Coturnix japonica: one gene and its partners. The protein of the gene in region 1 purifies or fractionates together with the protein of each later gene. This does not show direct contact. Links are inferred from orthologs where the notes say so. Each region holds a gene or a part of one and is shown in the gene's direction. Other genes may lie near its edges.

What was found. The genes of interacting proteins can lie anywhere in the genome.
Region 2: the proteins of EP300 (region 1) and SSRP1 purify together in Homo sapiens (affinity purification with mass spectrometry, with the first as the bait; 3 studies listed by BioGRID). This does not show direct contact. The link is inferred for Coturnix japonica from reciprocal best matches to the Homo sapiens genes EP300 and SSRP1.
Region 3: the proteins of EP300 (region 1) and E2F1 purify together in Homo sapiens (affinity purification with western blotting, with the first as the bait; 3 studies listed by BioGRID). This does not show direct contact. The link is inferred for Coturnix japonica from reciprocal best matches to the Homo sapiens genes EP300 and E2F1.
Region 4: the proteins of EP300 (region 1) and EWSR1 purify together in Homo sapiens (affinity purification with mass spectrometry; 3 studies listed by BioGRID and IntAct, with this or other methods). This does not show direct contact. The link is inferred for Coturnix japonica from reciprocal best matches to the Homo sapiens genes EP300 and EWSR1.

The regions. Positions count from the first base shown.
Region 1 is NC_029516.1:45,418,816-45,425,612, reverse strand, and holds part of EP300 (histone acetyltransferase p300), read left to right. Parts: intron 1-349; coding exon 350-524; intron 525-2,189; coding exon 2,190-2,267; intron 2,268-3,159; coding exon 3,160-3,269; intron 3,270-3,736; coding exon 3,737-3,892; intron 3,893-4,928; coding exon 4,929-5,369; intron 5,370-5,779; coding exon 5,780-5,968; intron 5,969-6,629; coding exon 6,630-6,786; intron 6,787-6,797. UniProt on the Homo sapiens protein: Functions as a histone acetyltransferase and regulates transcription via chromatin remodeling. Acetylates all four core histones in nucleosomes. Histone acetylation gives an epigenetic tag for transcriptional activation.
Region 2 is NC_029520.1:7,752,979-7,760,336, reverse strand, and holds the start of SSRP1 (FACT complex subunit SSRP1), read left to right. Parts: upstream 1-3,519; 5' UTR 3,520-3,653; exon of another isoform or gene 3,654-3,682; intron 3,683-3,982; 5' UTR 3,983-4,078; coding exon 4,079-4,132; intron 4,133-4,865; coding exon 4,866-5,051; intron 5,052-5,347; coding exon 5,348-5,453; intron 5,454-6,087; coding exon 6,088-6,278; intron 6,279-6,349; coding exon 6,350-6,580; intron 6,581-6,663; coding exon 6,664-6,767; intron 6,768-6,896; coding exon 6,897-7,025; intron 7,026-7,352; coding exon 7,353-7,358. Other genes in the region: P2RX3 (P2X purinoceptor 3), read right to left, coding at 1-54, 279-344, 427-520, 596-732, 1,059-1,200, 1,275-1,352, 1,434-1,527, 1,594-1,660 and 3 more. UniProt on the Homo sapiens protein: Component of the FACT complex, a general chromatin factor that acts to reorganize nucleosomes. The FACT complex is involved in multiple processes that require DNA as a template such as mRNA elongation, DNA replication and DNA repair.
Region 3 is NC_029535.1:1,930,981-1,938,520, forward strand, and holds E2F1 (transcription factor E2F1), read left to right. Parts: upstream 1-3,701; 5' UTR 3,702-3,716; coding exon 3,717-3,908; intron 3,909-4,176; coding exon 4,177-4,267; intron 4,268-4,528; coding exon 4,529-4,748; intron 4,749-4,889; coding exon 4,890-5,042; intron 5,043-5,189; coding exon 5,190-5,304; intron 5,305-5,390; coding exon 5,391-5,583; intron 5,584-6,153; coding exon 6,154-6,401; 3' UTR 6,402-7,312; downstream 7,313-7,540. UniProt on the Homo sapiens protein: Transcription activator that binds DNA cooperatively with DP proteins through the E2 recognition site, 5'-TTTC[CG]CGC-3' found in the promoter region of a number of genes whose products are involved in cell cycle regulation or in DNA replication.
Region 4 is NC_029530.1:9,976,536-9,983,942, reverse strand, and holds the start of EWSR1 (RNA-binding protein EWS), read left to right. Parts: upstream 1-3,568; 5' UTR 3,569-3,591; coding exon 3,592-3,667; intron 3,668-5,420; coding exon 5,421-5,457; intron 5,458-5,684; coding exon 5,685-5,736; intron 5,737-7,407. Other genes in the region: EMID1 (EMI domain-containing protein 1), read left to right, coding at 13-66, 184-228, 323-367, 873-957, 2,622-2,734. UniProt on the Homo sapiens protein: Binds to ssRNA containing the consensus sequence 5'-AGGUAA-3'. Might normally function as a transcriptional repressor. EWS-fusion-proteins (EFPS) may play a role in the tumorigenic process.

The DNA.
Region 1 (6,797 bases):
TAGTGGTTGGAGAGGAAGAGGGGTAGAAAACAGAGGGTCCCAGAGCTGCTGGCTTGAGTCTAGGAACCAGCCAGCTGCAGATGTGCTGGGATTTGGGATGGTGCCTGTTTTGCTGTTCTATGCCTGAAATGTGCTGGATGAAAAGAAAAATTTTGTGTGGTGCCCTGATGATTGTCAGTTCCTGTGTTTGCCCACAAACCTCCCTGCCAGCCCTGCAGAGGGGAAGCTTCCTCCCTCCTGAGTTCGAATGTGCATGTTGAAGGATGTTTTCCAAGCTTTGCTGAGTGTGACCTGTTGCCTTATTTTAACGTCTCCTTCCCTTTCCTGGATTGTATTCCTCTCCCAACAGGCAGAGTATTATCACTTGCTAGCTGAGAAGATCTATAAGATTCAGAAGGAGCTGGAAGAAAAGCGAAGAACAAGGTTGCAGAAGCAAAACATGATACCAAGTGCTCCAGGCATGCCACAAGCTCCTGTGAATCAAGGACCTAACATGGGTCAGCCTCAGCCAGGGATGTCTGCAAGTAAGAACAGTTGGGTTAGTTGTTGCTTGGTACGGGTCAAATATATAGTGTTTTTCTGGTGTGCTGGTGAGCATTTTGGCAGTATTGTTTCATTGATACCTTGTTTACCCATCGTTAAACTGAACTTATTCATCTCTGTTTAGGAGTACTTGCAACATCTTTGTTTTGCTTATTTGTTAATTAATGACCATAGATTATCTAAAATTATTTGGTCTTGTGAGTATACTGAAGTATCCTAACCCTGTGTGCTAGATGAGAGGAGATAGAGGACATTGTAGAAATTCAGTCTCATTAATCTCACTTCTAGAATTGACTGGTAGTGTCTGAAGTTAAAACACGTTTTAATAGTATTTAACTGTCTGGTGTTTGAAATGATTATTGTTGCTGCTAAGCAGGAAGTCTGATAATCAAATTGTTTTCTACAAAATGTATTACTTATGCCTTTGAAAGTTCAGGTAGTGCTTGCCCTGTGCCATGTTTGTTTGTCGTGTTTGATGGTTTGGTTTGTTTTTTTGAACAAATAATTCTTATAGTGTGCTGTGACAACCAGGTTTCATTATTTTTCCCTATGTAGTTGTCTTGTGTTTCACAGTAGTTCTGTTAATGGACACTTATAATGCTAAACAGGTTATTACTATTATATTTCCTTATAACTAGGCATTTGCATGTTGAAGTGACTTTGGAAAGGAGCTAATGATCAAAGTTGTAATGCTACTGAGGACTGTTATCTTTTCACAGCATTAGGAAGTTATAGGACACAGTAGGCTTTGCCAGGTAACAGGTGAAAACAAGTAACACTAGTTCTTGCACTTGATATTTCTCTTCCATTCATTCGTTCCTGCATGGTTTTTAGATACTTCACAGTTAAAAACTGAGCTCTGAAGATGTCTAATCAGAGTAGATGTATAGCAGTCAGTGACAATATAATAAATTGTCCTAAGAACATGGAGTCAAAGTCAGAATTAGTCAGTTGAACAGGTAAGAATCAGGGGTTATTTTTCTTATGCTGCACGATGATCCAGTAGTTCCAGTGATATGCTATAAGAAGCTTAATCTGAGGGGTTTTTCTCCTTTTTGAATATGAATGTATATTGGTAATTCCAGTCTGGATCTTTTCATACTTGAACTTAGAACTGGGTTTACCAATATGCATTACCAAAAAGCAGGAAAGGCCTTTAAGATTGGTACTATGAATTTATTTGTTGTAACTTCCTCTAGATCAGGAGTAGATGTGATATTTTGGTTGTTTATCCCATATGCTAGAAGAACCAAACTTTGGAGATTTGATAAAGTACATCAAACCAGCCCATTTTTATAGTGTTTTCAATCAGGAGGTGCAGTAATAGCGTAGAGTAGTTTGCATAAATTCCTGTGGTCTGGAATGTTCACAAGCTGCTGAGTTTTTCATTGTACCTCAATAACATATTTCATATTTGTCCACATTTTAAAATCTGTCTGCAAGTCAGAATATCTTTAGTTAACTGGATATCAATTGGGTTTTACCTCATACTTGAGGGACTCTTAAGTATGCTTAGTTTAAAATTACTGGACAGTGTCCATGCTTGTTTTTTTTAACTCTTTTTTACAGGAAGATTTTCACTAGAATGATTAAAAAACTGGTGGTTTCTAAATGCCATAATCTTATTCCAGAATCTTTTTTTACAGATGGTCCTATAGCTGACCCCACACTGATACGTGCTAATGTGCCAAATCAGATGATGAATCGCATGCAGGCACAGCCAGGTAAATTTTATATGAAAATTTGCTACTGTGATTGTGAAAGAATTGTGGAGTTAGGTAGCTCTTGCTGAAGTGTTGTAGCCTTCGTTTCACCTGCTGTATTCCCACTTGTCCTGTACAGCCTGCTGTAGGGAGCCTTCTTTGCAGGGGGGTTGGTCTTGATGATCACTTGAGGTCCCTTCCAACCCCTATAATTCTTTATTCTGTGAGACCAAGAAAATAGATCTGTGCTTTATATACATATATGCGTGTGTGTATATAAATATTTGTGTGCGTTTCTGTGCACAGTGTTGTTTCATTTTCTTGGAGATGTGAGCTGCTTATTACTGCTTGCTTAGTTAAATGAGGAACTTAATTTTTTTTAAATTATTTTTAAGTTTCTGTGTGAACATGAGATGGTAGACCCGATCAGCTTAGGGTGAGGGCATGTCCAAAGCAGAGGGAGGATGATGAAAATTGCTGCTCTGGGGTAGAACCTTGGTTGTATTTTCAAGAAGTATTGCAGCCAATATAAGGAGCACTTAAATGAAGATTCACAGTCAGGATTTGCAATAAATTAACTTCTAGTCATTAAGATAATGCAAGCTATCACAAATTGTATGTGGGATTAAGTCCTTCAGGGGAAAAAAAGCCAATACGTATTCTGAAATAGCTTCAGTGCTTAGTACTTAAAATTGTTCTGTTAACTGACCAATAGGAGAAGAAGGTATTTCCATTACGTGCTTTCCATGGCATGACTGGAAATTTTTTCTTTAAAAAAAAAAAAAAAAAGAAAAAAAAGAAACTGACAGCATTCTTCAAATGTTGAATGGCGCCCAAAGGAGAATTCAGGCCTCTGATCATAAGTGGTTTTTTTTTTGTTGTTTGTTTGTTTGTTTTTGTCACAAATGTGCAGGAATGAATCAGTTTGGCCATATGAACATGCAGCTGTCACCAATGGGACCCCGGCAAACTCCTCCTCTTCAGCACCCTGGACAGCTAAGCCAGGCCGGGGCCATGAACCAGGTCAGTGTGCTTCCCTTCATCTTGGGTATTCAGCTCATGGGTTTCTGCTGTTGTGCCTTCCTTAAAATAAGCAAACAAAAACAAATACAATTTAAACATTATTCCTGTGTTCTGTAGGCACTTTGGCTTCTTATTTCTGCAGTGCCACAGAAGATGTGTCTGGTATGTGGTCAGCCTTGGTGATTTAATTAAAAATACATGTAATTTCCTTCACTGAAAACTAGGTTAAAGTGGAGTTTTGGGCTATTGCTCTCCTGAAGCAAGGAACAAATTGAAGTCACAGTCTGAAATCAGTATCCCTTTGGTTTGCAGATGTCATAATTTCTAACTTTTGAGAGTTATAGTAGACCTTCCATACTGTATCCTATGCATAAGTATCAATCAATCACACAATTTCTGAGGTGAGATAACTGTTTTTATAACATACGACAAAAGTATATGAAATAAGTTCCTTTCTTTTCCAACAGATGGGATTTCCTTCACGTATGCAACAACCAGGAGTTGGCCAACCTTCTGGTCAAAATCAGTTTCTGCAGCAGAACCCATTCCCTGCTTCTTCCCCAGGAATGAATGCAGCGAGCATGCCTATGACACAAACTAGCAATCAGACACCAGTTTCTCAAGTAAGTTTCCGATTTTTGGAGGTTGTGTTAGTGGGCTCTGTCATATGATGTTTTTTTATGTTCAAGTTTGTAATAATGGAGAATAATTTGTTTTATCAAGATGCTATTGGAGCTGTAACCATCTGAATTCATTTATTGAGGCTCAGCATTTTCCTGGCTATTGTGCTGGTAGTGGTATGGGTAAAATGTTGGCTTGTTCTCAGGCTTAAGTTTAAGTGACAGAGAATTATTTAAGTTTGTATCTGTGAAGGAAAGAGCTTGTTGCTCGTATATCTTGCTCATATAGTAAAGAACAGCAAAGCAGTAGAGACTGAGAAATTAAAAGATGCTGGAAGAACAAGGCTTAAAAAGGCATGTCCAACCACAACCATCAAATGTATTTTGCTGCCCTTTGGGGAATAGGATGGTTGTCACTACTAAAGATTGGAACTTCCAGTCTAGCAGTTTCTTTTCTGTCCTTTCCCTCTCCCTTTTCAGTGAGAACCTTTCAGGCCAGGAAGAAGTAGGGAACGTCAGTTTGCTTCTCGTTGATGCTTCTTCCTAGTTTGCAGGCAAGATTATTGTGAAGTGACAGCTTTTTTTTCTTGACCAGTACATCTTTTTGTAATCTCATAGCGCAGTTGCAGCTATATGTATTTCTGATGATAAATTCAGTTTCTAGTCTTGTGGGTGGGGGCATGGGCACACTGTATTTGAATCCATTCTTTCCACTGTCATGTATCGCCGCATATTCAGGGTGTACATATCTGCATTTTTTGAAAGAAATGTTTTGCAAACTGCAGGTGTAAGTGTGTCATTCTTTGAATGTATCGATGAGTATTATTTACTCTGAAACTTCTGTTTTAGAGCTGAGTATACTACAAACAGCTATATGTTCAAGTGATACAAAATGAAAAGCCTGTTTCTCCTTTTGAAATATATATATATTTTTAAGTTTGTCACTTTTTGAAAGAGTATGCCAGTAACTGTGGGAAAGCAGCCGTTTTAACATCTTTCTATTTGAAGTCATTGCAGATGTGTACTTGTTTTCCCACAGGCACAAATGAACAGCTCTTCCTGTCCTGTGAATTCTCCTGCCATGGCTCCAGGCTCTCAAGGGAGCCATATTCACTGCCCACCTCTTCCACAGCCTCCCATGCACCGAAATTCTCCTTCTCCAGTACCAAGTCGAACCCCAACACCTCACCATACACCCCCAGGCTTGGGATCACAGCAACAGCAGGCGGCAGCAGCTGCCACCACTGTCCCCACCCCTACTCCTCAGGCAATACCACCTGGACCACAGTCACAAACTATGCATCCCCCTCAGAGGCAGACTCCAACACCTCCGCAGGCACAGCTGCCTCCACAAGTCCAGCCTCCAGTTCCAGTTGCCCCCTCTGCAGAGCAGCAGCAGCAACCGTTGTCACAGCAGAGTACAACAGCGTCAGTTCCCACACCAACAGCACCACTGCAACCTCAGCACCCCACAACACCTGTAAGTAAATATTTTAATTGAACAAATGGGCAAATGTAAGGTTTAGGATCTGGTATTTCCACAGAGGAAGTAATTCTTTTCATGCATGTTGAGAAATGCACAGTGAAATATGCATGGGAGGTCATTAGTTATGTCTGCATATGCATAGTGATGGCATAGAATAGGGAAACAATATGAAATTATATACTAGACCTTCCAGTGAATGTCTGCTGTGCTTTCTTCTATAACTAGACTTGTGTTAGCAGTATGTACTTCAGGTTAAGCAAGTGGAAGTACCAAAGTGAATTTGAACTTGATGGAAATAAGGTTATAGGTAAAAGGTAGATCAGAGCATAGAAAAATAATAGGTTAATTAGAAGTCTGTCTGTAATGTGTTTTGGTTTTTTTTGTTTTGTCTTTTTACTCCTTAGCTGTCACAACCAGCTGTAAGCATTGATGGGCAGGTGTCCAACCCCCCATCCACCAGCAGCACAGAAGTGAGCTCACAGCAGACTGCAGCAGAGCAGCAGCAGCCACCTTTGCAGGAAGTGAAAATGGAGATAAAAACAGATGAAGGGGAACCAGAACAAACAGAGCTGCAGATGGAGGAGAAATCTGAGGTGAGCTGTCGGTTTGTTGTTGGAGAGAATAACTGCTGTTGTTAGCTCCTTGGTCTCCATGCAAGCTTGTCCTTTTAGACTTCAGTTTGTATGCTACCTACTGCTGTGGTTTTGTCACCTCCCTTACCTCTTCCTAAAGAAGGGTCTCTGTTTTGTGGTAAAATTATGGTAGAAACCAGTGACCACAATAAGGACTGTGATAACATGGTTGGAACTGTGAAGTTTTTTGGTAAATGCTAATGTAAGAAGGTGCTCAAGATGCTCATTTGAATGTTATTGACAGTTTTACTCACTGGAGTAGTGGCTGTGTATGTGACAGGCTGTTTTAGTGGGTTGTGACAGTTTGTTGTGAGGGCAGCTGGGACCATGACTCCTGGCAGCTGAACTGCAGGAGAGACAGTCAGAACTGCCTGAGCAGCAAGATCTATACCTCTTTGCCTGCTTGCAGCTCAGAACTGGTTAGCAACCCTTCACTGCCGCTGCTGTGGTGTTAAAGGTATTTTCTGTCATATCTGATCAGGTTTTAGGCAAATTACAATTGCAATATAGACAGCCTTATCCTAGAAAAGAGCAGTGGACGAGTGCTATGTAGGTTGATAGGACAGAAACTTGGTTGAATGACTCTACAGGCAGCTGTGACAGGGTCTAATCTGCTTTCCAGGTTAAAGTAGAACCAGCAGTGGAAGAATGTAAACCAGACCCCATGGAACAAGAAGAGAAGAAAACAGAAGTGAAGACTGAAATGACAGAGGGAGAAGAAAGACCTACAACTCCAGCTACTCAGTCCTCTCCAGCAGCTGGACAGTCTAAGAAAAAAAGTAAGTAGGCT
Region 2 (7,358 bases), on another chromosome or scaffold:
GTGCTCGGCGCCCTTCAGGAAGTTGAGCAGGATGATGTCGCACAGCACCGTGCCCTGGGGGGCAGCAGTAATGGGGAAGGGGCTGCGGGGTGCCCCCTGACACCCCACAGACCTCCAGGAATTAGGCTGCTATCACCCTTCCCGTCACCCTGCCTTGTGGCAGTGGGATTTCCCTCCATCCATCCTGCTTCCCACCACTTTTGGGCGTCACCACGGCCCTCAGCCCTATGGCTGCGGGTTGCCTCCTTGCCCCAGGGCTGAGGACTGCCTCAACTCACCACGCCGATGGAGGTGAAGGCAGCCACCGTGTTGATGAGGGTGGGCACGATGCCGAATTTCCCAGCCTGCAGGAAGGCAGAGGGCTGAGCTGGCATGGCCTCCACCCATGGCATCCATAGGTTCCTGGGATGCCGTGCCCGTACGTACGTTGCCATACACCAACACATCAAAGCGGATGCCGAAGGCCTTGGTGAGGGTGCGCAGCTCGGTGCCGTTGTGCCCACGGTAGTACCGTGCGTGCCTGCGTGGGACACGGCCACCTGGCACCTCCTGCTCTGCAGCCGTCCCAGCAGCAGGCAGCGACACGTGGCCCTACCTGAAGTTGTAGCCGGGGGAGCCGGGGCTGTGCTGGGTGACGCTGTCCAGGCGGGTGAAGGAGTAGCGGGGCAGGCACAGCTCCCAGGCGCGGTCCAGGTCACACACCCAGCCGATCTTGATGCCCAGCACCCCGCCCTGCCCAGCCGGCCGTGAGGGCAATGCTCCCCATGCCACGTGGCCCCATGGCCCACCATATACATCCCACATCCCCACCATACCATTTTCCCATGTCCTACATCCCCATGTCCCACATTGCTGCATCCCCACACCACAAGCCTCTGTTCGCACACCTCAATGTCCCAATGTCCCCACATCCCCGATTTCCACACCCCATGTCCCCATTCCCGCATTCATGCACACCACATCCCAGGTCTCCCCGGCCCTAAACCTCCAGTCACTACATCCCCTACCCTGTTGTCCCCACATTCCCCATCCCCGCATCCCACATCCTTTATGCTCACGGTGGCAGCCAGTGCGGCAAAGTCCTGCCCGGCGAAGCGTGCCACGTCCCCCAGCCGCAGGATGGGGCACAGCGGCTGCTGCTCGGGGTGGAAGCGGCAGCGCTGCAGCTCTCCTGCGCTGACATGGGGGGGCAGGTTGGCCCTGAGGGGGGGGGGGGCACGGCTGTGAGCCTCCAGCAGTGAGAGCCCATCCCGTGTGCCCTCAGTGCCACTCACTTCTCGAAGCCAAACAGTGGGAAGCGGACGCTGTTCTTGATGAAGAGGGTGAAGTTTTCAGCCTCCAGCATCACAGGGCTGTGGGGAGAGAGGTGGTGGTCCTGAATGGGGCAGAGGGCACCGTGTTTATCCCCCCTCCTGCTGCTGCTGCACACTCACACATCGACAGTGTCCACCTCGGGTGGGCACCAGCCCCGGATCTCACAGGTGCGCAGGGTCACATTGTAGGGGATGCAGCGTCCTGTCAGCACCCCTGTGGCCATAATGCGGGTGGGCTCAAACCCTGTGGTTTTTGGGATCCCCCTCCCTTAAAACTCACCACTGCCTGTGGTGCGGCCCTTCCCCTGACAGTCACGGTTGGACGCACACCGGTATGTGGCTTCACTCTGTGGAGGGGGGGTGTCTGTGGGTCGGGGCACACCGGTGCCCCCCATGCCACCCCCTGTGTCTCCATACCTCTGGGCAGACGCCCTGCTCTTGATTCTCCGTCAGGATCTGCTTGGTGACCACCACGAACACCGAGGTGCCCTGCGGTGATGGGGACACCGTGTCACCACCACCCCCCTTCCAGCCCCATGCCACACGGGGACTATTGGGGTTATTTGAGACGAGGTAGGAGGGCTCGGGGTGGGTTCCCTGCTGTCTCCTGCCTGTGGGGGGGTGACGTAGTCTGCTGTGTCCAGGACGCGGTTGCCATATTTCCCGATGCCCTTCACTTTGGTCACCACCGAGGACTCGATGACAGTGTCCCGCACCTGGTAGGCCTTCTCATGCAGGAACACCCAGCTGTGGGGTGGAGGGGTCAGGCTATGGGGACAGCTGGTTGGCCCCCTGCCACCCGCAGACAGTCCTCCTGTCACCAGCCCTCCGACAGCCACTTGTCACCTGCCTGTGTCACCCCATGGGGTTCAATATGCTCCTCAACATCCATCCCTTCCTCTCCTCTCCATCATCCACGCCAACAGCCACCCTCCCATCACCTTCCCTTGTGTCACTTGGTGTCCCCATCGCAGACACGCTGCCAGCCACCTGTCCCCCTCTGCCCGTGGCTGTCATCACTTCTCACAGCCTGGTTCCCACCCCCACACCCAGCGGGCAGCTGCCATTCCCACGACACCCTCCTGACCCCACATCATGCACCCACCCAACGTCCCCTCTCGGTGTCACCCTCCCGGTCCCCAGCTTGTCACCACGGCATCAGGGAAACCGTGTACACCGGGAGCAGCGTCTGCCGAGGGGTGGGGGGACACCAGCAGAGGAGCGGGGTCCCGTTGGGAGGGTCTCTCACCCGATGAAGTAGGAAAGGATGAGGAGCTGCACGACCCGGTTGACGACGCCCACCACCCAGCTCTTCACCACCACCGACTTGGTGGTCTCGTAGGAGAAGAAATCAGCCAGGCAGCCGGACTGGGAGCGCTGGGGGGGCATGGGCAGCCGGGCGGGGGCACAAGCAGGGGCTCCACAAGGATACGGGTGGGGATACGGGCGGTGGGAAGGGACGGACGCAGGGAGCGAGGCAGGGATACAGGCAGCGGGCAGGGATGCGGGCAGATAAAGGCAGCGATGCGGGGATGTGGGCAGGGATGCGGGCGGGGTGGTGCAGAGGGGTGGGCACAGGACGGAGGGAGCGGGAGGGGGGGCAGGGGGAGATGGAGGGAGGGGGCACGGGGGGAAGGAGGAGGAGGGAGGGGAGGAGGATGTGGGTGGGGGGAGGGCTGAGAGAGGCGGTGAGAGAGGGCTGGTTGTGCGGCGGTGCTACACGGGGCAGCGCTGCCCGGGTGCCCTGGGGGGCTGTGTGCCCTACTGGGGTTGTGTGCCCTGTTGTTGGGGCTGTGTGCCCCGTTGTTGGGGGCTGTATGCCCTGTTGTTGTTGCTGTGTGCCCTGTGTTGAATAGTGTGACTCTGGTTTTTAATGCCCCGCACTCGGGATGGTCCCACTCCGGGTGTCTCTGTGCTCGCGGACCCCGTGTGCCATCTCGCAGCGCCTGGCCGGGTCCCATATCGCTGTGTCCCGCTGTAGGGCTGCCCTTTACGCGGGGTGCCCCACGTTGGCCGTACCCCCATTCCGCAGTGCCCTATTAGAGCTGTACCCCGACCCGCCATGTGCCGGGCACAGCCACCATAACGTCACGGGGATCACCCGGCTCAGCCAATGGGAAGCAGCCCCCCCACTTTCCGGCTGGAGGCCTCCCTCCTCTCTATGGTTCCAGGTGAGACAGACCGCCGCTTCGGGGAGCGGCCGCTCTAGCCCGCCCTCCTTCCACCCCGCCGCCTCCATGCCAGAGCGGCCGAGCGGCGGCTCGTCTCTATGGCGGAAGTGGGGGCGGGTTCCGGCCGCGGCGCGGGAGGCGGTTGTGGGGGGAGGCGGCTTCGCGCGAGGTTCGTGTTGCGCAGGCGGGAAACGAGGGGTCGGCTGACGGGGGGGGGGTGATGGGTGGGGAGGGCGCTGGGGGGAGGGGGTGATGGGAGGGGGGGCGGCCGGTGTGAGCTGTGGGGCGGCGGATGGGGGCGTGGGGCCTAGGAACAAGGGGTGGTAGGGGCTGCTCAGGGCTGTTGTGCCCCTTCTGTAGTGGGACGGGAGGATCAACGGCCCTGGGAGCCCCGGGGAGGCGTTAAGGGGGGGGTGTTGCTGTGGGGTCACATCCCTCACGGATCGCTCTGGGGTTCCCATGTCCGTACTCACTTTCTCCCCCCTCCTCCGCCCCCAGCACGTCGCTGCTCGGTGGCAGCAGGGCATGCCGACCTCGGCACGGAGCTGAACTCCGGCCTCCTCCTGCCTGCCTGCCAGCACGGCCCCCTTCGTCATGGCTGACACGCTGGAGTTCAACGAGATCTACCAGGAGGTGAAGGGATCCATGGTGAGCAGCTCGGTGCTGGGGGCAGCTATCTGGGGTGCTGCCTGATGCCAGGAGTGCTCGCCCCATCTCACAGGCTGGAGGCACACGGTGTGGCTCTGAGGCCTGGTCTCAGCTGTACACCCAGGGGTGCGGTATGGCCCCCCCCCCCCCATCCCTGCAGCTCTTCCGCTGCCTTGTCCTGGCAGAGCTTGTTTTGCTGAGCTCGACTGGAAATGGGAGCTGAGGCGCCTTGTTTCCAGAGCTGAAGCATTTTGGAGCATCAACAGGGGCTTTTAGTAGCAGCCTGTTGCGGAGCTAGCAAGGTTGTGGTTGGGAACGTGTCCAGGGGAAGGGATGCCAGCTTCAAGCATTCACCCTTTGATGCAGTAGCTACTGCTGGGCAGCTGGGTGCTGTAAATCAGCCTGTTCCAGTGCTTGGGGGGGTGGGGCGCAGTGCCATGCTGCAGTGATGTTGAGCATTTCTGGGTTACCCTGTGGCATCTGGGAGACTGTTCCTAAATGCCTGATGGAGCTCTAGTACCGAGGCTGCTGGCAACCCGGCTGCCTGAATCCCAAAGGAGGGTGGTAAGGAGTGCATGGAGAACAGAAACTGGTGGGTGGTTGGGGAATTCGCTTTGCGTCCCCTGGGAGAGCTTAGCAGCTGTCTGTGCTGCGTGGAAGTTCCCACCCTTGGGCTGCTCCCCTCCATGTGCACGGGGCAAGCTGCCTGTACCTCACACCCACCTCCCACCAGAACGATGGCCGGCTGCGGCTGAGCCGCCAGGGCGTCATCTTCAAGAACAGCAAGACAGGGAAGGTGGACAACATCCAGGCCTCGGAGCTGGCAGAGGGTGTGTGGCGGCGTGTGGCGCTCGGTCACGGCCTCAAGCTTCTCACCAAGAATGGCCATGTCTACAAATACGATGGTTTCCGGGAATCGGTGAGTCCGTGCCGTTTCTGACTGTTGTCTGAGCCATGCTGACCATCCTTTCTTCAGCTCGCTTGTGCCACAGTCTCTTTGCTTGCTCTGTATCGGGTTACACTGCCTGCAGGATCTGCCATATCTCACAGAGCTGATCTCCTTCCCTTTAACAGCAGCTGATGTCTGTTTTTTTCTCATCACTTCTCTCGTACCATGGGCAATGTCCCAGTTACAGGCTCTGGGTCGTGCTGATGCGTACACAGCAGTTTCTGATGAGCGTTCACTTTTTCTCTGTTCTTTCCCACCCCTCACAGGAGTTTGATAAGCTCTCAGATTTCTTCAAGGCACACTATCGCCTGGAGCTGGCTGAGAAGGACCTGTGTGTGAAGGGTTGGAACTGGGGCACAGTGAGGTTTGGAGGTGAGTTATGGTAAGACAGGAACAGAGCGGTGATGCTGCTGCTGGAGCAAGAGAGTCTGCAGTGTGTAGGTCAAGGTGGTGGGGCTGGATGGGCATCTGGTGGGTCAGTGTCTTCATCCCACCAGCCCCTGGCTGTTGACAGCTTTAGATGCTCCTCTGGAAAACTGCTCCCTTTTTTAGTGGTGGTTTTGGATACAGTATGGATGTCGGTCATCCCAGGAAAGCAGGAGATACTTGCAGGCAGCACAGCATGTTCGGGGTGGGGGTAGGCAGAGAATGCTCAATGTAAAAGAGAAATCTGCATGGGAGCTGTGAGCATCTAATAGAGCCTGCCAATTCCTCAGGGAGCCAGAAGAGCTGGTGAATGCCCCTCCCTGCTCTGAGAGAGGAGGAAGAGGGGAATAAACAGCCTATTTGTTTTTGATCAATATAATTCTCTGTTACTGTAGCTGGGAGGAGAAAGCCTGGATATCTGCGTTGAAAACATTGAAAAGAAGGGAGGGAGAGGGGAGGCACTGCTGGGTTTTGAGAGAAGAACGATGCTGCTTCTGGAGTTTGGATCTGGGATGGAACTCACCTTGGGTCTGCCCAGCAGGGTTGACCTGAGGTTCTTATCCCTCCCCACTTCCTGTAGGGCAGCTTCTCTCCTTTGACATCGGGGAGCAGCCGGTGTTTGAGATCCCCCTCAGCAATGTCTCCCAGTGCACGACGGGCAAGAACGAAGTGACGCTGGAGTTCCACCAGAACGATGACGCTGAGGTCTCGCTCATGGAGGTTCGCTTCTACGTCCCCCCTACCCAGGAGGATGGTGTTGACCCTGTGGAGGTGAGTGAGGCACAGGAGGGCTAGTTGGTTGCCCTCGCCTAGTGCCTGACCACAGCTCCTTCTCCTTATAGGCCTTTGCTCAGAATGTACTCTCCAAGGCGGATGTGATTCAGGCAACTGGTGATGCCATCTGCATCTTCCGGGAGCTGCAGTGTTTGACGCCTCGCGGGCGATACGACATCCGCATCTACCCCACCTTCCTGCACCTCCACGGCAAGACCTTTGACTACAAAATCCCCTACACCACTGTGCTGCGCCTCTTCCTGCTCCCACACAAGGACCAAAGGCAGATGTTCTTTGTGGTGAGGAGGGGTTGAGTGGTCCTCCCTTTCTCAGGAAATTGTTTTGAGGGTTTTTGGGTCCTCATCTCCTCTTCTCTTTTCAGATTAGCCTGGATCCCCCGATAAAGCAGGGCCAGACCCGCTACCACTTCCTTATCCTGCTTTTCTCAAAGGATGAAGACATCTCACTGACCCTCAACATGAATGAGTGAGTTCTCTCCAGGCAACTCCCTTCTCCCCCTCCCTGGATCTGGGGGCTGTGGGGAGAGCTAGGAGTGCAGGTAATGAATCTCCTTGGTCCCTACTTTTGTCATTATCCTCTATTTTTGCCACACAGGGAAGAGGTGGAGAAACGCTTTGAGGGGCGGCTCACCAAGAACATGTCAGGCTCCCTCTATGAGATGGTCAGCCGGGTTATGAAGGCACTGGTGAACCGCAAGATCACTGTGCCTGGCAATTTCCAGGGGTGAGGCATGCTGTTGCTTCTGGCTGGGCGAGGGAATGTGGGACCTTTTTACACTAAGGGCGTGCATGGTGGTAGGGGCAGAGGCAAAATTTGCCTTGTTGTCCTTAGGAAAGGACATTCTTCTTGTTTCTGTGGTTTCAGGCCAGCTGCTTGAGAGCCCTTCCTGACTTGGACAGCAGGGCCAACATCTCTTTCTGTAGTTAGGATGAAGGGGTTTTGCAAGAATTTTACCCCGTGGGGGTGGTTGGTGGACTTAACAAAGCTGCTGTCTCACTGTGGGGCTGTTTGCTTCCTGTTGATGTGACATGGCAATGTTTGCCCTCACAGACATTC
Region 3 (7,540 bases), on another chromosome or scaffold:
CATTCAGATGAACGTGTTTTTGTCTACATCCTTATTTTCACCCGTTATTCCTTCCCAGGTACCTGACTGAGATGCCGAGTGCTTCTAAAAGAGGGGCAGAGCATCTCAGTGTTCTTATGCACAGACAGTTTTAAAGGTTAATGAATGGAACTGATCAAAAGTTTTCACGCAGCCTCCGATACCAGGCTGACTATCCTGAGCTATTAATCATTTATTTGATGAGTGAACAAAGCGAGCTCGGGGCTTATTTACAGAGCTGTGTGCTGCCCTGGTGGACATGCTGTGCTTCACTTCTCTTTGGAAAGCAGCTCTTAACATTGCTGCTCTTCTTCAGGGTTGCTGAAAAACCATCTCTGGGACAGCTCTATTATTTAACAAAGGTGAAAGCTCAGTGGGTGATGTTTGGTTTTTCTGCTGCTGGTTTTGCAACCCAGCAGATAAGGAGAGAGAAAACCAGGCGTGTTGCCATCCAGCTCAATGTCTGTCCGCTGTGTTGATATTTGGGGGTGCTAATCTTGCATTCTCAACCTGTGTGTTCACACCAGATTGCTGGGGGAGCTCGCTTAGAACTTTCATGTCTCTCCTTTCCTTGTGAGGTTGGCGATGAGGAGGGGGAAAACAAATTAAATGCTTTGTAATGCAGGGTTTGTTGCCTTTGCTTTCGGTCTCGCTGTATCTATTTTGGGTCCATAATTGCTGTGTAACCCAGGAGCTGCATCTCAGCTGGTCAAACTGAGGCTGGATGACTGGCAGCGCGTGCAAACTGGATGCACTCAGTGTGAACAGGAATGAACACGGCTGGCTCTTGCATTGCAGTCAATGTGGGCTGATGTGGTTACAGGGCAAACTGCTTGTTGGTGTCTTGCAGCCTATCATTAGCACGTGCAGGTGCTCTCAGTGAGCGTGCGACTGTTCAAGAGGACACGAGCCCCACGTGCATCTCTCCCATTAGCTAAGGAACAGAAGTACACATGCAAATGATCTGAGTGCTGCTTCAGAGCTGAGTTACACAGAGGAGATACGTGGTAGAGGTAAGAGCTGTGGTAATGGAGATAAAGCCCTGAGCAAGAAGATCCCCATGGCATGGGGAGCTGTGGGAGCCCCTTGGGGATGGGAGCACTGAGCAGCCCCAGCATAGAGCTGGCTGCCCAGGGCTGGGAGAAGCCAGACTGACACCTGTGGGCTGATTGCAGCCTTATCTTCCAATGTTTGTTTTTCCTTTCATATCGTACCAAGCCATAATTCCAGGTGAAGCTCTGAGCTGGTGCCTCACCCACCCTCTGGCTTTGCGGTGCCAATGGCTGCGCTGTGCACCTGCTGGGAAGTGAGCTCAGGCTGGGTGAAGTCACAGAGTCCAAGTCACAGTGAGTCCAAGCCCAGTGCTGTACGAAGCTTAAAGCACAGAAGATGTTCTTCCCCAGCCATGCTCCTGGATGGCTCTGGCTCTCTGCAGAAGACATCCTGCCCTATTCTCCCCTTGTAAGCCAGCACACTGGGCTGAAGGCAGCCTGAGAGCCTGGTGGGATGGAGCAGCGTTCAGCAGCTCATTTGGGAGGCAGGCAGTGACTTCTCTGGCTCACAGGGGCTTCACAAGGCTGTCTTGGTTCGGGGGGCGAGCAGCTTCCATGGCCCTGCTGCCCTCACCCTGGGACCGCAGGTTGATACTGAGTTTCAACATTGGATACCACTGTAAAAGAGAAGGAAGTAAAGGAGCTGAACTTGCTCTGTTCAGCATCCAAGGCCATAGCTGGTATCCTGGGGGCAAAATTGCTACTGTAGCGTTCTGTATAGTAATACAACGAAAGGAAGGATTCCTAACTCTTGGGAAGCAGGATCCACTTGTGCCATCTCCCATGTGGAAAAACACCCAAAACGCCGTTCCAACCTGAAAGAAGGCAGGACAACGATGTGGGGTCGGGTCCCTCTGTAGGAATCCAAAGCAGCAGTCTGGGATGCTGAATGTGTCCCAGCAGGAACCCAGGGGCAGTGCTGTGATCAAACCCTCCCTGAGGTCAGAGCAGGGATGGTTTGAGTCCAGATTTGCATCCTCCCAGCTCCCCTGTGTGCTCCCACCACCAGCAGATGACCGTGCGTGGCCTTAGAGACCCACAGGCTGTCCATAATCATGCCCACAAAGGGATAACGTTGGCCAAGCCTGCAGCTTGCAGAGCCCTCTGACCCCCCCCAGCCCAGCAGGAGATGCAGTGCAGCACTGGCAGCTATCAGGGCTCAGCACCCATTGGCAGCTTATCACCACCCGCAGCTGTGCCAGGTGGGATTCATCCGCGGGTGGGGAAAAGCCCCCTTTCCCCCCTCAGCATTTGTCGCAGTGACTGTTTTGCCTTTCATTTGTCTTTGCATCTGCCCTTTTCAAGTGCCACAAGAGCTGAAAGCCTCGGCGAATTGGCACGGGGGAGGTTGGGGGGGGGAGCCCGCTCCCCCTGCATAAACTGCCGTATGAATGAGGGAGGGGGGAATAAAACAAACCCGTGCTGCCCCCAGCTGCCCCGGCCTTTGTGAGCGCGGTGGGAGCAGCTGGTGCCGCAGCTGCCGCTCACAGCCCGCGGCCCCGGAACGGCCCCGCAGCCGGGGCGGGTGGGACCGTGTGTCCGGGCGGGGCGGCACCAACGGGCCGCATCTGGCGTGTAACTGCTGCTCGTACCACTCGCTAACGGGGATATCGCCGTGACCGGGGTGCGGGTTATCGCAAGGGCCGAGCGTTAATTAACAGCGCTCACCGCCGCCAAGCGGAGCGGTGCTGCCGTTCGGTGCTGTGCTGCAGGGCTGGGCCGTGGGCTCCGCAGCCACAGGAAGAACGAGCAGCAAAACACCGCTCAGCGTTCACTACATCCCCGCTGTGAGGCACCGCCCGCACCCAGCGCTAACCCGGCCGTCCCGCTGAGCCCCGCTGCGGCCGCAGCTCCAACTCCGGCCCCGCAGTACCGAGATGGGGGGGTGTTTATGTCCCTGTGGGTTGGGCTCCGTTGGAGGCACATTGAGGTTATCAGCGCCCCGCACACGGGATACAGACGGCGGGAGCCGCCCACGCCACGTCCCGCGGCTTTGACTATGGGCTGCCCTGCCCTGCACCGCCCGCACCGCCACGGACACGCAGCTCAGCCCCGCAGCCCGCACAGCGTCACGGGCAGCTCTAGCCCAGCAGTGCAGGGAGCGCCCGGCGCTCAGACCCGTCTGTGAGTGACCCCACGCGGGACCAGCTCCGCGCCGCCCTCGGCCCCTTTAAGGCCCGGCCGCGCTCCTCACCCACGCGGCGCCACGGCCGCGTCCCCGAGACGCCTCCCGATTGGCTCCTGCCTCAGCTCGGCGGTTCTGATTGGCCGCCTGTCAGCGCGTCCGCCGCCGCCGCCCTTAACCAATGGGCGGCCGGCACCGCCCCTCCCTCCGGCGACCTCGACCAATCAGACGGTTTCCCCGCACCCCCGCCTCAGCGCTCGGCGTTGGGCGCAGCCAATGGGCGGGCGCGGGGAGGTTGGCGCCGCTTTCGCGGCAAAAAGGATTTGGCGCGCAAAGGCGCGCGGGGCCGGAGCGCGGGACAGCCCGGCACAGCCCGGCACGGCCCGGCACGGCCCGGTACAACCCGGAACGGCCCGGAACGACCTGGGGAACGGCCCCGCGGATCGGCCCCGCGCCCGGCAATGGGCCGCGCCCCCGCCCCGGCCGCGGCCCCGCGCCCCGCGCCGCCCGTCACCTGAGCCATGGCTACGGCGGGCGGCGCGGCGGGGCTGGCGGCGCTGCTGGGCGGCTCCTCCCCGCACCTCCTCATCGTCTCGGCCTCCGAGGAGCCCGCGGGCGGCTGCCGCCCCGACGCCGACCTCCTGCTCTTCGCCACGCCGCAGCCCTCCCAGCCCGGCCCCGCGCCGCGCCGCCCCACGCTGGGCCGCCCGCCGGTAACCGCGGGACGGGGGAGGGAGCGGGGCTGAGCGGGGCTGAGCGGGCCGCCGGGCGGGGCCGGGACGTCGCGGTGCCCACGCGGGACCCCCCCCCCCCCCCCCGTCAGAGCCCGGCCGCGCGGGGCACCGCCGCTCCGGAAGCCGCCGCCGAGGCCGCCTTCCGCCCGGCAGCGCCGTTGCGCGGGGCTGCCCCCACAGGCCGGGGCCCGGCCCTGCCGCCGCGGTGCGTTCCGCGTCCCCGCGCTGAGGACGCCCTGTCCCGCAGGTGAAGCGGAAGCTGAACTTGGAGACGGATCACCAGTACATCGCCGACAGCCTGCCCGCCGCCCGCGGCAGGGCCCGCATCCCCGGCAGAGGTACGGCCCCGCTGTGCTGCCGGCCTGAGCCCTTCGGGATGGGCCTCGTCACCTCCCTCTTCCCCTCTGCCACCTGCCGTCCCCGTAGAGCGCTGGGCCCTGCCCGGCTGCTCGCTGTCAGGGCTCAGTCTCGGGGCCCTGCAGCACCATCCCCCGAGCTTCCCATTGCCAGCAGCTGCCGGGTGCTGCTCACCTGCCGGGTGTGGCGGTGCTGGGGCTGCCCCGCGCCCCACGGCTGAATCTTGCACCTGTCCCCAACAGGGGCAAAGTCTCCTGGGGAGAAATCCCGCTATGAAACCTCACTGAACCTCACCACCAAGCGCTTCCTGGAGCTGCTCAGCCAATCCCCCGATGGTGTGGTGGATCTCAACTGGGCGGCCGAGGTGCTGAAGGTGCAGAAGAGGCGCATCTACGACATCACCAATGTCCTGGAGGGCATCCAGCTCATCCGCAAGAAGTCCAAGAACCACATCCAGTGGATGTATGTCCATCAGGGTGGGGGGATAACACCGAAGCTGCCAGGGTTGGGTGGAGGGAGGGAGGTTGGGTTCCACCCTGAGATCGGGAGGTGATGGCAGCAGTGGGGTGTTAGTGCTGGGGGTGACAGCCCTGTGTACCCCAGGGGCAGCCAGGTGGCCGCGGGGGCTTCAAGCCGACAGCAGCTGCTGGAGAAGGAGCTGCGGGATCTGCAGGCGGCAGAACGGCAGCTGGACGAGCTCATCCAGACGTGCACGGTGCAGCTGCGGCTGCTCACCGAGGATCCCTCCAACCAGCAATATCCTTCGGTGCGGGGCCGGGATGGGGCTGGATGGGCTGGAGAGCTGTTGGGGAATGGAGCCCCCCCCTGCTCTGACACTTATGGTCACTGTGTGGGGTTTTGGGTGTGAATGTGGCCCCGTGTCTGCTCCTTGACCCGCCGCACCGCAGCCTACGTCACCTGCCAGGACCTTCGGAGCATTGTGGACCCCTCTGAGCAAATGGTGATGGTTATCAAGGCACCCCCAGAGACCCAGCTGCAAGTCTCAGACCCGGCAGAGGTGAGTGAGGGGTCTCTCCTCCCCATGGATCTTCACAGCCCTCGGTACAACTCCACCTTGGCACTCCATGTCCCTCCTGTCCCCAGGCTTTCCAGGTCTCAGTGAAAAGCACTCAGGGCCCCATCGACGTGTTCCTCTGCCCCGAGGACAGCTCAGGGGTCTGCAGCCCCGTCAAGAGCCCCTTCAAGGCACCTGCTGAGGAGCTGTCCCCTGGCTCATCGCAGCAGAGAGCCTCCCCGCTCCTGCATCCTGCTCAGGATGTCAACATGCTGCTGCCTGGTGAGCAAGGTGGGGATGGGGATGGGAATGGGATGGGAATGGGATGGGAAGGGATGGGATGGGATGGGATGGGATGGGATGGGATGGGATGGGATGGGATGGGATGGGATGGGAATGGAATGGAATGGGGGCACTGCCTGGGCTCTGTGGTGTGGGGACAGTGTTATCACTGTTGTTCCAGTTCCAGGAGCACGAGGTTACAGGGCTGAGGTCTTGGCTGTGTGTTAGGAGGAGCCTGACCTCCATGCTCATGCAGTGCCAAGTAGTTGGACTCAATGATCCTTATGAGCGAGTCCTTTTTAAATTGGGGTATTCTGTGATCCACCCAGCTGTGGGCTCTGCTCCTACCCAAGCTTGGCAGAGACAGCCCTGGATCTTTCTGCTTAGGAAAGGACACTGTCCCTCTTTGTCCCACCACTCAGCAAGTGGTCTGAGTCACGCTGCCCAGTTGGCCTGGATGTTTCTGATCACTCCTGATGCTTTGTGTGCCATCTGCATGGCCTCAGTAGCTTAGAACACAGCAGTTCTGGTGTGTGCTGTGGGGCTGACAGCCTCGCTCTGTCCCCACAGAAGCACTGCTACCAGGCACAGCACTGCCCTCCAAGTGCTCCACAGAGGATGTGAGCCTGTCACCGCTGGCCTCCATGGACACCCTTCTGGAGCAGGCCAAGGACGATTTCTCGGGCTTCCTGGCGGATGAGTTCATTGCCCTGTCACCACCACAGGCACAGGATTACCACTTCGGCCTGGAGGAGGGTGAGGGCATCAGTGAACTCTTTGACTGTGACTTTGGGGACTTCACGCACTTGGACTTCTGAGGCTCTTGTCCTGATTTCAGAAGCTATCCCACTGCCAAGGGGGGGGACGCAGGCAGGGCTGAGGACAGCCACGTGGTGCCCTGTGCCTTGGTGTGGCTCTGGTGCCTTCCTGGGGTCCCTGTGCTGCAGCAGCCCTGGGCCCCCTCCATCCGTCCCCTCTGCAATATTTTCTTCCCTCCTATCCGGCATCTCTGTGCCATGATGGGACAGAGCCCAGCTTGGTGCTTGAGCCCACATTGGGGCCTACTCCTGTCCCAAGAGGAGGATGCTGGGGAGCAAGGGGTCCCCATTGGGTGCCCCCCCACCCACTGCGGGCAGCCATAGGGTGCCCGTGGCAGAGCTTTAAGCAGTCCTGTGTATAGATTGGATTAATTTATTATTGTTCCTTGGGGACAGCGTTTAGTTTCCCAGGAGGGGTCAAGGGGGGGTGGGGGATGTGGTGGTCTGGGGGTGCCGCGAGGTTTCCTTGTGCTGGGAGGGGCCAGCTCTGCGGGGTATTTATTTATTATTTATGCCATGAGGGGCTCTCCCGGGACAGCAGGAGTGGGTGCTGGGGGGGAGATGGTACAGGAGGAGGGTCCCGGCAGGGTATTGCTGGCCCCAGAGCTGCAGGCATCAGATGGCTGCGGGAAGAATGTTGGGGTGGGCTGGGGGTGTCCCCAGGATGTTATGAGGATGGGGAATATGTGGACCCCCATGGCCCAGTGAGGACCAAATGTTGTCTCCAGGCTTTCTCTTTCATTTCCTGCGCAGCCCTTCAGGCTGAGTGCGTTTTGGGTTTGTTTCCTCCTCCCTGGCTCCAAGGGAGGATGGAGGGACCCTGGGGCCAGGCTGGAGCCGCACTTTCACTTACTGCCTTTAACAAGCTTGTGTTCCGCTGAGCTTCGTGTTTAATAAAGGTTTCTACTGACTGTGGCCTTCACTTTGTAACTGGGATGTGAGCAGCCTCAGCACCAGGCAGGTATCCCAGTGTGGGTGCTGGGAGATGAGGGAGTGCCCTTGTGAGACAGTGGCACATGGTAGGAACAGTGGGGACAGTCCTGGAGTGGGGCTGAGGGCAGCTGTGCCCCATCCTGGTGGTGATAAGGGATGAGCCACTTCCTTCCCCTCTTTGTCCGTCACTCCTCTTTCTTTCTGCC
Region 4 (7,407 bases), on another chromosome or scaffold:
GTCACTGCATAGGGGAGAGCTGGGGCACCTGGAGCTGCCGGTCCCCGGGGAGACAAAGGCGACAGGGTGAGTGTAATGAGCTGGGGGGGTCTCAGCCAGCAACGAGCCTTGGGGGCAGGAGCACCCATATGTGGCTGTACCCCATATGCACCCCTTGATACTGACATGATCTGTTCCCCCCAGGGCCCCAAGGGAGAGCCAGGCAGCCGTGGGCAGGATGGAGCACAGGTACGTGGGCCCCCCAGGAATGGGGGCTGTGCTGGGGTGAAGGTGGGCCCTCTGCCCTCCCCCTCTGCCTCTCCTTCTCCTTTCTGTGTTTTAGGGCGAGCCGGGCCCCAAGGGCGAGCCGGGCGACAAGGGCACATGGGTGAGTGATGGGAGATATGGGGAGAGGGGTGGCATGTGGGAACCCAGATGCTTCATGTCCCTGGGACTCCAACAGCAGCATGGTGGTCCCAAGCTGTGAGCAACACTCATCGTGTGGCTGGGGTCCCAGGGATGGCACAGGGATCCCTAACTGTGCAAGTGCATGTCTTGTCCTCGGGACCTCAAGAACAGCATGAGGGTCCTCAAATGTGCTCAGCACTCACCTGGTGCCCCTGGCATCCCAATAACGTTACGGGGGTCCCCAGCTGCACCTTGTCCCTGAGACCTCAGGGGTGGCATGGGGGTCTCCAAATGTGCCCAGTGCTTGTGTTTCATCCTTGGGACCCCAATGTTCCTGGGTTGTGCTTGTTTTCCCACCCCATGGTGTGGCCCTACCCCCTGCCCCCCACATTCTGGGGGCTTAGGCAGGCAGCACTGGGCACATAGGGGGCAGTGGGGCTGGGGGTGTCCCTGGCTCCCCCCTGACTCCTTTCTTCCCTCCGCAGGGGGAGGGTTTACACCAGCTCCGCGAGGCTTTGAAGATTTTAGCAGAGAGGGTTTTAATCTTGGAAACAATGATTGGGCTCTATGGTGAGTAGGGGGAGCGCAGGAGGCAGCCACGGGGGGGCACAGGGGTCCCTCCATCCACGATGGGCTCCATTATGGGGAGCAGCAGGTGCCCCCTTCCCTGAGCCCCATGGGGACACATGTGTACCCCCATCCCCACACCAGGGGTGGCACTCCCCAGTGAGTGCCCCCTCCCTGGACCCATGGGGACAGGAGAGCCCCTCACATCCCCCTGGGACCATGGGAGACCCCACACCCTTTTGGGAGACCTGGCACCCCCAACGCTTGCACTGCACCCCCCGGCCCGGCTGCGCCCGCACTGTGCCATGGGGCAACCACGCTCTGCTCTGCTCTCTCACTCTCCACCAGGCCAGTAGCTTCCAAGCCCTGCTGCGGCAGCAGGCCCGCCTGGAGGTCCTGGCTAGAAGGGTCACCCTCCTGGAAGCCATCATCTGGCCAGGTAACTGCACCACCACCGCGTCAGACACCCCCCAGCAGTGGGGGGAGGGATGGAGAGGGACCCCAGAGCCACCCCTAGGAGAGACTGTTGGGCTGAGGGAGGCCCTGGAGATGCTCAAGGATCATGGAGGGACATTGAGACCTTTTTGGGCTGAGAGTGATGGCAGAGAGAATCACTTGCACCAAGGGGACCCTCCTGGGTTGAGGGAGGACTTGGATGTGTCCAAGGACCCAGGGGTTGCTCCAAGGGCTCAGGGAGCCCCAAGGAACAAGGGAGACCACAGAGCAAGTCTTTGACCGAGGGAGGCCATGGAGACACTCTTGGACCAAGGCAGACCTTGGAAATCCCCGAGGATCAAAGGAGAACTTGGAGCTTCTCTTGGGTTAAAGGGAGAATCTGGAGTCCCTCTTGGACCAAGGGAGACCATGGAGAGCTTCTTATGTTGAGGAAGGCCCATCAGGGTTGTTCTCCAAGGAGAACCAAGGAGGCACCGGAGCTCTTCTTGGTGCAAGAGATCCACCCAGTGCCCTTCTCAAACCAAGGGAGTCCCTGGTGGCCTTCCTGGGAGAGGGACACCAAGGGACACCTGGGGGCTCCCCAGGGATCAATGGGCCATGCAGACCATGGAGCTCCCAGGAACATCTCAAAGCCCAAAGGAGACCCTGGAGGAGCCCCCAGCCCCCTCACACTGAGGCTGACTCCATAACCAGCTGCCCCCTCCTGCTGTTCCCCCTTTCCAGCTGTGCTTTGCTGCAGGGGCTCTGTCCTCATCCCTGCGTGCCAACCGGGGGTGCCAGGCGGGGGGTCCTCATCCCTTGGGGTGTGGGGGTCATGCTGGGGTGGTAGTGGTGGGGGGACACTGTGAAGGGACACATGGAGCTGGGGGCACACCCAGGGCCAGCCGCCCCCTTCTGTCCCCAGTGTCAGAATGGGAGGTGTCTGGGTTGTTGGTGGCACTTGGGGACCTCATGGTGATGGAGACGTGGTGGGTTGGATCTTGTGGTGACAAGGATGTCCCAGTGCCAGGAGACCTCATGGGGGTGGAGGGACCTGGTGGTATGGGGACCCTACGGTGGGCAGCACCCAATGGGGGCACAGGGATCTGTGGGGATGATGTGGGACCCGACGGCCTCGAGACCCCACGGTGGCACAGGGGCCCCTGAGGACCATTTGGAGCTGTGACACCCCACACCCCACGGCCTCACAGCTCTCTCCTTTCCTCCTGCAGAACCAGAACCCGGCTCAGGCAGCGGCCCCGGGGGCCCACCAGCACCCAGCCCCCCCCGTGCCAAGCGTCGCCGCTCACCCCCCACCCACCAGGCTCTCCCTGGCCAGCCCTAAGAGTGCAGCCCCGCTGTGTCCCCGCTGTGTACATGGAGGTCCTGGTGCTACCCGGTGCCAATGCACCGGTCGGACCCCCCCAGCTTTTGGCCCTGCTGCTCTGCACCCCCGTGCTGGGGGGCACAGGGCCCCCACGGCCACCCCGGTGCTCGGGGGGCTGCATCCCGTGTGCCGTCCTGGCACTGCCTGGGCATTAAAGGTGTCCCCAGAGCCGTGTGTCACTGCTTGATGGGTGGGGACACGGGTGGGCGGCACCGAGGGGGGGACACCCATGGTATCCTATGACACCTATGGGACAATGGACACCCACACCGTGACACTCGTGGGACAAGCAATAGCAGCGTGTTGTCTGTGGGACACCCACACTGTGCCACGACACCCGTGGGACATCGCCCATAGCACGGCACCAGGGGGCACCCACAGCACAGCAGGGACACGCAGGGACACGCACTCACTGCTGTCACCAATGGGACACTCATAACGCACCACCAGTGGGACACCCACGCAGTGCCATGTCACCAGGGGGGCACTGACCCATAGCAGGGTCCCCACCCAGTGCTATGTCACCACTTGGATCCCTATTACAGGGAGCCATAGCCCCCCATACCCTCATACCCCCACGCACCATCACGCCACGCGTGACACGCTGCGCCCACATCCCGCCAACTCACGTGACGTCACGCTTAGCCACGCCCCCTTAGCCACGCCCACACCGAAGCCCCGCCCCCTCTCGCCGCTCCGTAACGGCGGCGGGCCGCACCACCCGCCGCTCAGCGCGGGGGGAGCCCTAAGCCCCGCCCACCGCAGCGCCCCCCATCGCCGATCGCAGTGGTGCGTCCCGCCGGGCGGGGCGGCGCATGCGCAGCGCGGGGCGGCCGCGGCGGCCGGACGTTGGGAGCGCGGAGGAGGAAGAAGAGAAAATGGCGTCGACGGGTGAGCGGGGCCGGGCGGAGCGGGGCGGCACACGGGGCTCCGAGGGGAGGGCACGGCGTGATGGGCGGGACGAGGGGCCGCGGGCCGGGCCGCACTCGGCCATACCGCATCCTTTATCGGAGCCTGGGCCTCAGGGCAGCCCGAGCTGAGGGGGGGCGTTGGGCCCTCGGTGCTGCGGCCTGTTGGGAGCCGGGCGGTGCGGGGCTGTGGGGCCGCGGTGCGGAGCGGGAGCGGCTGTGGCTGTGCTCGGCAGCACCGTGTCACTGCGCTGTGGGGGGTCGCCGTGATGCCGCTGCTGCTGGGCCCGGTCCTGACGCTTGGCCGGGTTTGTGGCGGTCAGCGAACGCTGCGAGGCCTCGTGGAGAGCGGCCCGGGCATCAATGGGGGCGCGCACGGTCGTTAGGGATGAGAGCGGGTGGGTCCGGCAACTAATAGCGACAGGATGGGGGAGGGATTTAAACTCCAATAGGGGAGAATGAGGTGAGGTGGTAACAGGAATCCGTCATTGAGAGGGCGGTGAGGCTGCACGGAGCTGTGTGTGCCCCATTCACTGCCCTGCTACAGGCCAGGGGTGGGCCCTGGGCAGCCTGAGCTGGTGGGGGGAGGTTGGGTGATATTTAAGGTTCCTTCCATCCCATTCTAAACAGCGTTTTTAACGTGATTCCATCACCTGCAGTGGTAGCAGGGTGGTGATGTTGTGCTGTTGATAGTCTTCAGGCAGCCTCTCCAAGCTCGCACTCCTCATTTTATTCAATAGAGACCAGTTTAACACAAGGTGTGGTGGCACACACTCCTCATTTTATTCAATAGAGACCAGTTTAACACAAGGTGTGGTAGCAGCAGAAACGTCAGAACCCTTTTCTGTGTGGGGCTGCCTGGCTCTGAGCAGAGCTCTGTGCACGTTTGGTTTCCGAGTCCAGCTCAGGATGCTACGAGCAAAGTCTGAACCTGTTCTTCATCTCTGTCCTTGGGACCTTTCCGGTCCTGGCAGAGCTGGAGGAGTGTCCCAGGAAAGATTTGCTCGTAGGGCTGGATTCATTGCTGCCATTTGCTCTAGGTGGGAACTGGAAACACTTGGTGGCTTGGAGGGAAAGAAAGCGTGCCCGTAGGAGCTGTAATCATTTCAAATATAGCCTGGTAATTGCCGTGTGCATGCATTTTCCATCCCTAGCAGCAAGCCAGTTCGGGAGAGGTTTTTTTTCTTCTGGTTGGATTTTCTGGATTTCAGTTTTGCTCTAAATCACACTATTTACATGGGCTGGAGCTTGGGGAAAGGAATTGCTGCCAGCTGCTGGTCGCAATCCCTCCTAGGGAAAAGAGAACTTGCCAGTGATGGGTTTGTGTCCTTGAGAGTTAAATAGACAAAGTGCTGTGTTTCGTACAGACTCAAGGGCTTACAACCTGGCCCTTTGAAACAGGGGGGTTTGTAAGTGTCAGCCCCCATGTTACCTTTGTTCCAAACCCCACTACCAGCCCCCTTGGGTGCCATCGAAAATGGCAGTTCAATTAAAGTGGGGTCATTTGAGATCAAAGTTGGTGCTGCAGACAGCAGAAACAATAAAGGGAAGAGAGGTTTTGTTTCCCTTTAGAAGGCTGAGAAAATGCATTTACCTTACTCTTTTGAAACTAGATTTCCAGGGGTTTATAGCAGTTCTTTCAAGTTGCTGGAGGAAATTCCAGCTGCTCTGCTCTTACACTGTTAATTTTGTTGAGTCTTTGTCAACCTTTCTTTCTGTTTTTGTTTCTCTTGTAGATTATAGCACCTATAGCCAAGCTGCAGCTCAGCAGGGGTAAGTAGCATTATGGCCTTTTATCATAAAAAGTTGTGATGTAAGTGTGTGGTAATTGTGGTTTAGTCTTAGCTCAGGTCTGCTTTGCAATCCCTTTGGTTTTCTATTGGATTATGTGCTGTTTTAACACTTGAGCAGAAAGATTTTGGCTTTAAAAGCCATTGTGTGATATCTGTATTGCACAAGTACTTGAATGCATCATAAACATCTTGAAATTCATTTTGCAGCTACAGCGCGTACGCACCTCAGCCAGCCCAAGGATACGCACAGACCACGCAGGTAAAGCACAGGAGGGGATTCTGACCCTTCCTGGGATCCCAGCAGCCACTTCTGAGCCCTGAAACATTCTGAGCAGCATCAAAACCTGTCATTAGGAGCTGCCTTGTAACTTCCCACACAGCCTGTGCTTAAAGTGAAACTGCCTTGATGTCTGGGAGCTTCCACATTCTCTTCCTTGTTAATATATCCCAGTTGTTGCCAAGAGGATTATAAAAACCTAATTCTTGGTGTACGTTTAACACTTACGTGTCGGAAGGGTGTTTTACTTGGTGGTGTGGGAGAGAGAAACCTGAAAAAGGAGTAAAAGAAAGGGGAAATTGCCATTTGTTTGATGGCAGCACTTGGAAAAGTTAGGAGGAGAGGATGGATTTCTTCCTTTTTCATGGAGCTGTTGTAGCTATTAGTATTGTAAGTTGGCTAAACTGCAAACTGCTGATGATCTTTCAGAGATGAATGATGCCTTTTTTTGTTTAATCCTTAGAATCCAAGTTACTGAAACCACAGTTATATGCAAAATACGAGTGTGGTTTTTTGAAGTCAACTTGGTTGACTTTCCCCAGCATCTCCAGACAGTGTTTTTTTTTTTTCTCAAAGGAAGATCCTGCCACCCAAAAGCACGTCTGTGTTCTGCACACAAAAGCTGTTGTTCTGGAGCATTACAGAGCAGAGCTAACTGGGCTTTGTGCTGCTGCCCACAACTGCCAGCTTGATGCGGATACAGAATCACACAGAATTACCCGGGTTGGAAGGGACCTCAAGGATCACGTAGTTCCAACCCCCCTGCCTAGCAGGGCCACCAAACATACACCTTTACTAGATCAGGTTGCCCAGGGCCCCGTCCAACCTGGTCTTGAACACCTCCAAGGACGGGGCATCCACAACCTCACTGGGCAGCCTGTTCCAGGACCTAACCACCCTTCTAGTACAGAACTTTCCCCTAACATCCCTCCTTCAACTTAAAACCATTTCCCCGTGTCCTGCTATTATCAGCCCTTTCGAAGAGTTTACTCCCCTCCTGGGAGTAAGTTCCCTTCAGGTCCCATTTGCTTTCCGGGCCGCCAGAGCGCACTGCTGGCTCATGTTAAGTTTCTCATCTATCAGGACCCCTAGGTCTTTTTCAGCCGAGCTGCTCTCAAGGACAACTCCTCCCAGCCTGTACAGGTGCCTGGGGTTCTTCCAGCCCAAGTGCAAAACCTTGCACTTTGCCGTGTTGAACCTCATTAGGTTCACCCGAGCCCAGCTTTCCAGCCTGTCAAGGTCCCTCTGAATGGCATCCGTTCCCTCCACCGTATCGACTGCACCACTCAGCTTGGTGTCATCAGCAAACTTGCTGAGGGTGCACTCCATTCCCTCATCGATGTCATTAATAAAGATGTTAAAGAGCACCGGTCCCAAGACAGACCCTTGAGGGACGCTGCTCGTGTCCGGCCTCCGCCTGGGCGTAGAGCCATTGACCACCACCCTCTGTCTGTGGCCTTTCAACCAATTGCTTATCCATCTAGTTGTCCACCCATCAAATCCACCTCCCTCCAATTTGGAGATGAGGATGTGATGGGGGACCATGTCAAAGGCCTTGCTCAGGTCCAGGTAAATGACATCGGTTGCCTTCCCTTCATCCACCAACACCGTCACTCCATCATAGAAGGCCACAAGATTAGTTAAGCATGACCT